2 linked regions of the Oryzias latipes genome follow. The protein of the gene in region 2 interacts with the protein of the main gene of each other region in a biochemical or structural test. Links are inferred from orthologs where the notes say so. Each region holds a gene or a part of one and is shown on either strand. Other genes may lie near its edges. The genes, in order: grk6 and beta-2 adrenergic receptor.

Region 1 (2,570 bases), on a different chromosome or scaffold from region 2:
TTCTGCACCAATAAAAGAACAACCAATCAAACAGCTGAAGGCCACAAACATAAATCTGGTCAAGATTGTTCAGATGAAAGAACAGAAAGTTAGTCACAAATTGTTTTTTGGAATTTAGCTAATAGTGAAATAAACATAGTTTTGTTTTTCAAAGGTGAATTGAAAGTAAAGACGTTTTTATCGCTTCAAATCTCAGACAGAAAGTCCCAAAGACAGATTTCTGCCTTCACATCTATTTTGTTAAATTATCATTCAAGCTGGGAATCATCTACGAGAGACACGACTAAACTGTCCACAAGCTACAAGGGGGACCTAGAACGGGACCCTGAGGAACACCACAAGTCAGTGCTCTTGGTTCTGATGTCTTGAAGTTGGGTCATGACATCTGGACTTCCAATCTTCTTTGGTTCTGATGTGTTTTGCCAGTTTTGTATGAATGACAATTTTTCAGTGTTGTGTTGCCATGGTAACACAAGACCTCCACCCACTAGTGGGCGGAGCCACATTCAAAGAAAAGTCAAAGATGTTTCTCTTTTTCTCTCCTTCTGTAATCCCACAGTTTTACTTTTTACGCCTATCTGGTTTTTAATTTGCAGATCTTGAAATCTGCTTGGAGGAAAGACCTCACATCAGACTGACTTCATGAAAAATAAACCACCATCTTGACAGACGTCGTTCTGAATCAGTTCCGTTTATTTCTGACTCCAACAAACAACCAATTTTTAGGGAGTTTAGCAGACAAACATTTAACTCATTTAGGAGAAAAGAAGAACATTTTCTACAATTCCAAAGTGGTTACAATCCAGACCTTTCCATAAACGTGTCTCATTGGAATCATTCTCAACAGCTCACGTGGAAGAGGTCCTCTCCATCCTGACTGGAGACGCTCGGCTCACCTGCCTGGAACCCAGGTATGTTTGAGACTCGTGTTTCCTCATCATTGCATAGGTTCTGATCCCTGCCCTTAAACATAAACAGGTGAGGAGGAGTTAGTGACTCAGGAACGACGTCGGACCGCGCTGGGTCCACGTCACAGATTTATTTCGGGACTGGCGTCCGTCGTCCCCATGAGCAGCTTCAGACTCGGCTAATCTGGTTCCTGGTGATCCGAGCTTTGATGAAGCGTCTTTGGATGAGGAGTGAGACCAGAACAAGAATCTGGAGTCTCTGCACCTGAATCTGACCCCAGATTTCACCTTTTACACATGTTTAGTTTTGGTTCTGGTTCTGTTAAAGCCTGAGTGGTCTCTGTAGACCGCTACTGGGTGGCTCCACTTAGATACATAGAAAAGGCACAACGGTTCAGCCCAGATCTGATCAGGAAAACTCCAGAACTCCGAGGCTGAACAGATGGATTGTCTCCAGAAAACCATTATATCAAAAATTCACAAAAACTGGCTAAAAACTGAAAAACAGTTGCAGCAAAAAGAGTGGAAAAAATGCAGCAAGTGGAGGGGCTGATGAGGGTGTCCTGCCACTGTGCCCTCGAGCAAGGCACTTATACAGCAGGCGCTTGGTCCAGAGTGGGAGAAAAGAGCGAGGCCTTCCCGAAACACGGAAGCCAACCATAAAAAAGGATTTCCTTATTTTCATTCTTAAATAACTTTAAAAACTGCTGTTCCGCTGGAGGTTTACATTCTGACATCCAGCGATGGAACGACCCAAAAATACAAATGTGCAAAAGTTGTAAACAAAAGGTGGCGAGCGCCAGTCTGTCACAGCCGGGTGGGCTCCTCCTCGCTGTCGCTGCAGTTACCACAGCAATCCTGCAGGAGGAGTAAGAGAGCACATCATATCCCAGTTTTCTTAGTGAAGGTCAACACTCTGAAAGCTTTCCCCAACCAAAGCTCCTCCCCCAAGCAAAACTCTAAAGGCTCCTCCCCCAACAAACCTCTGAAAGCTCCTCCCCCAACCAAACCTCTGAAGGCTCCTCCCCCAACCAAACCTCTGAAGGCCATCATGATGCTACTGTAACTGCCACCTGCTAACTCACCTGTCTTCCAAAGAGCCGCTGTAGCAGCCCCTGTTTAGGGGGTGGAGACGGCTGACCCCTCCAGTCCAGGTCGGGGGGAACGACGCCGTCCTGGTGGAAAACATTCAGCTCAAAGAAACACTCCGTCTCGATCATCTGCAGGAGAAACAAAAAACTCCATCTGCACTTCAGCAAAACAGCTCGGACCTTTTTGTTAAGTTAATCAACTAAAGTCTGAAATGTAGAAACTCTTTTTAGAAGTTTGACTGTAGCCATGAGGGGCCCAAGCAAGTCTCCCTGTGCTGAGAGTACAGACTTTGAATGTGGGAACAGGAAAAGGTAGCTAGTTCAAAGTTTATATGTTTAGCACTTTTACAACACAAAGTACTCAAAGTGCTTTACATGATGACATTTAAAAACAAAAGGACAAGACAAACATATATGTCGTTAAAAACTGGCACAATAGCACCCCCCCCCCCCACACACACACACACACACACACACATATATACTCACTTGCTGTATAAAAGCTAGCTAAAAGTTAGTGGACATGATGCAGAGCAGGAAGGTAGACATGCTGTGTGTACAGGAGACCAGG
Region 2 (4,475 bases):
GCCGAGGCACGTTTTTGCAGGCTCCCGTGTCTCTTGTCCAAATGGCACAATGATTACACACACAAGAAAAGAGATAGCCAGATAAAAACAATGAGTGTACTGAATACAAGCTTTGGATTTTTTCTTTTTTCTGTCTGGTTGCTGACTTCACCGTTATGGCTTGGTGCTAGAACTTTGTCATTTGGCTGCATTCACACCCTGTTTATGATTACGTGTTGTCTGTACCCTTGCACTATGAGGAAACAGCTTCTCTGGTTGCGGTAAACTGTGCACATACTGAAACATGGCAACTGCAAAATCTGATAAACAAACAAGGCTCATGCAGCTATGGGTCAACTATGGTTCAAATTTGTCGCACAGAAGAAAAAGAATCGTCGTTCTCACTGTTATTTGTAACAAAAAAGTGGTTTTAGATTTGCAACAAGTGGAAAATAGACATAGTTCAGGTATATGTAACAAGCCAAAAGAAATGTTTGAATTTATGAAAACGGTGAGCATTTCAGCCCAAGTTTTATATTATTGCACTTAGCGTTCCTCCCAAAAATTATAGGTATTTTACGGTTCGTTATCTGATAAAACAAGCTTTGATGTTTTATGATGGCATTAACCCAACAGCTACAGGCGTTCCTTAGGCTCAGCATTAGGATCTAGATTAGCCAGCCATATCTCTTGTGCTTTCTGCTGACAACATAAACTCCTTTAAACACAGTCTTGCACAGTAGAGCAGGACTGAGACGTGTTTTGCCTCACGCGTAGCCAATATAGCTCCCTGAAAAAAAGATTACAACTTAATAGATTCCTCAAGTGTTGTCGGAATGTAATTTTTGATGCAAAGACCAAGACTGGTTCAAAAATCCATTCTTTGCATTGGAAGAAAAATCGCATGGAAAATCTCAAATACAGTTTTATACCATACAAAAAACTGTGGCTTCCCTCCTCAAGAAAGAGCAAAAAATAAATAAAGCATGCCCTAAGGTTTTGGATGAAGCCTTATAATCTGCAAATGTACTATTCACACGCCATTTATTAGGCTCAACACACAGCTGAGACATCGCTCTCGTTTAACTCCAAAGGTAAGAATGTAAGCCGGTAAAGAAACTAACACTGTAAAGCCGTTAGGGAGGTAGATGTAGTCATCATGTAATAAAAAAAATACATTACAATATGTAGTCACTATGTTTAACTTAAAAAAAATGTTCCTCAGCTTGATGTGATCGTTGCAGGTTCTCTGAAACACTTTTGAAACACTGCCAGCCACTTTGACTGGCCTTACCTTAATCAGCGATTGAGAGAAAAGCCCTAAATGTTCATAAGTGTATAGGCTTTCATCTTTCTCTGTTGACTGAAGGGTCGGTGGTCCGTGCTTAAAGGGCAGTTGTGACAGTCGTTATACCTTTGTTGCAGTTTCCATTGGGGTCTATGGCTCTGTCCACACCACTGCCCACCCCTGCACCTTTTATCAGACAAGCCTCATTGGCATCACTGTCCTCCGAGTTGCACTTGCTCCTCCCTTGCTGCTCACTCTGCCAGCTGTGCCTGCTGTAGATGTATCCATTTGTTTGGCCTTGGTGGCTCAGATGGTTCCTCCTGATGCACAGGAGTTCCTTGAAAGCGTACCTGAACTCAGGACTCCGGCAGTAAATGACAGGGTTGAACATAGAGTTTGAATAGCCTATCCAGTTCAGAATCATAAATACGCTATAGTTGTTCACGTTCCATATGGACGCGATTACATTAAGGATGAAGAATGGTAGCCAGCAAAGAGTAAAGGTCCCCATTATGATACCCAAAGTTTTCAGGGCTTTGTGTTCACGCAAGTAAAACTTTGCCTTCTTTTGTCCACGGCCATTCTTGTCCTCCGAAGAATCTACATGAAAGCGTCCAACGCTTTGGTTAATCTTTTTTAGCTGCCTTTTGGCCGCCAGGAAAACACGGCTGTAGACAAAAACCATGATGATCAAAGGGATGTAGAAGGAGATGATGGAGGAGGTGATTCCATATTGTATGTTTGTGTGAAACTGGCAGCAGTCTGTTTTATTAAGACATTTCTCAGCTTCCGATGTATTGGATCTCCACACGTTCATATGAATGGGCGGGTAGGATGTCAAAGCAGCAATCACCCATATAAAGATGACCACAATTCGAGCTCTGCACTTTGTCAATAGTGACTGGTAGCGGAAGGGTGCAGTAATGGCCACGTAACGGTCAATAGCGATGACACAAAGGGTCCCGATGCTTGCAGTCACGCAGAGGACATCTGTGGCAGTCCAGAAGTCGCACCAGAATTTACCAAAGTGCCATTTAACGAAGATGATGTTTAAAGCACCAAAGGGAACCACAATGAGACCCATGACCAGGTCTGCACACGCCAGAGATGTGACGAAGCAGTTGGTGACAGTTTGGAGACGCTGAAAGCGAGCGATTGCTGTTATGACCAGGATGTTTCCAAAGACAATGCACAGCACCAGAAAAGACATTCCGATGCCCATCAGGATCATAGCCGTCTCACTGTGGCCTGTCTCGTTGAGGCCCATCTCGTTGTGGCCCGTCTCGTTGTTGGACAATGACGTAGTGCTCACATTCGAGTAGACTGGAGAGACTGTAACTCCCATCTGAAGAAATCACATGCAGAAAATCATCAGACACAGTAAAAAGAGGGGAAGTGCACAATTCAAACATGTATCTAACTTATGGGAACTAAATAAATGCAGCAATAATAAAGTTTAAAACATGAATGTTTGTATCTGAAACAAAAAAACAAGCAAAGCAACAAAAGATTAAAAAAAACACAGCAGAGGCACCAGCCATAACGACCTTTTTGGCTCCATGCTTTAAAAACAAGTTGAGTCAAGAAAGAGCAAAAATACCAACCTCGACAGGTCGTTGTTTTGCTCCCAGCCTCCCATAAAAATGTCAGAATGTCAGTGTTGAAATACTTCCTGTAAGACTGGCAAGGCTCACATGCCCCTGTACTTTTTGTTCGGGTTGAGCTCCAGTTGTCTCTCTACCAAGTCGTTCCGTTGAGCAGTGTTTCCTCTGATGTGTCTCAGAGTCCTTATAGCATGCAATGGTGACATCACAGTCAGAGCTCAGCCAATCAGCGCACTAGCCTGTGGAGGGTGCTGAGCGCTCACAGGAGTTTGAACACACTGTCCCAACAGCTGCTGCTGCAGGGCTGCATGAGACATACGGCAGCCAACACAGGCAAACATTTACATATTTAAAAAACCTGCAAATTTGTACTGAAATCTACGAGCTGTATTTCAGCTCGAGTCATAAAGTCTACTTCCTGTTATGCTATGTTCCTGTATGAGTTTACAGCTTCATGCTTGTGAATCTGTATCCAATTAAAACTAGTTAAAGCATTTTTTGAGCATTTGTAAGATCAGGCTGGATTCACAAGTGATCCAACTGGCAAGTGTAGCTCAGTGAATTTTGTCAAGATCTATTGAGTGGTTGGATTGGAGCTTTAACACACTTCTTGTCCTGACAAAACCTTTGAGTTTTGTAGGCTGCTCTTTTATATAAAAATCAGGACCTTCGCCAATACAAGAACATATGCTTACATTTTAACATCCAAAGGTCAAACTGTAAAAATGACCTCAGTGTTTTGGTACGTAAAAGGCGCAGTGATCTTCACAGCAAGAGCTAAAAGAAAGCCTTTGAGGATCAAGAACAAATTTGCACTTTTATGACCACATTTATTCCATACATGTGATCTATGCAAACTAAACCTCATTTATTCAAATTTCAACAATGCAATGATAGTTCTGCTTGGTTTGTGAATGCGTAAAAACACTTCACGGAAAGTCTTCAATGCTTATTGAATTCTTTTAAGTTAATATATCTCTTTTTAAAAATGATTCTGTAATAAAATGATCCAATACCCTCAATCCTAACCCTTTAACCTAATCTTTTGTGACACTTTTGTACTTCAGCCTTTTTTTAAAGTATTTTTTCTCGAAGGTGTATTAAATGTGCAAGTATCAATAAACGTGCACATTTTATTTATCCTTTTAGGTTACAGGTCTTAAAAGGTTTACAAACTACAGAAAAAGAAAACAACAAAGATTTTTGCAAATGTTTGAGACTGTTGTAATGTGTTTTTTACCGCTGATTTTTTGCTTAAAGATCACAAAGATTTTTGCTCAATTGCGCAAAATCTTGAATTGCATAATTTTCTTCTACGCACATTAGATAGATTAGAGCGTACGTGGTTTGGAAAAAATCCAAAGACAGTTCCACTCCTGAGATTAAATAGAGGATGCTTGACGTTTTTTGGATTATATACCTGCATTAACACCAACCATAGAAACCAAAACCTGGTGTTTCGTGGTGGATTTTCAAGGCATGACAAGATTAAAGATAAGAGATGCCATATGTCTGAGCCCTCATTTAGAAGAAATCCTTCATGGGAATACACTTTGACATTTATCAAGGTGTTTCATCTTTTTACAGTCACAAGGTGAACAATG

Evidence for each region.
Region 1: the proteins of beta-2 adrenergic receptor (region 2) and grk6 form a complex in vitro, tested with the Homo sapiens proteins (2 studies listed by BioGRID, with this or other methods). The link is inferred for Oryzias latipes from reciprocal best matches to the Homo sapiens genes ADRB2 and GRK6.

Annotation. Positions count from the first base shown.
Region 1 is NC_019872.2:29,855,890-29,858,459, reverse strand, and holds the end of grk6 (G protein-coupled receptor kinase 6), read right to left. Parts: intron 2,129-2,570; coding exon 1,994-2,128; intron 1,767-1,993; coding exon 1,716-1,766; 3' UTR 673-1,715; downstream 1-672.
Region 2 is NC_019868.2:20,753,356-20,757,830, reverse strand, and holds the start of beta-2 adrenergic receptor, read right to left. Parts: upstream 3,045-4,475; 5' UTR 2,872-3,044; intron 2,613-2,871; coding exon 1,365-2,612; 3' UTR 1-1,364. UniProt on the Homo sapiens protein: Beta-adrenergic receptors mediate the catecholamine-induced activation of adenylate cyclase through the action of G proteins. The beta-2-adrenergic receptor binds epinephrine with an approximately 30-fold greater affinity than it does norepinephrine.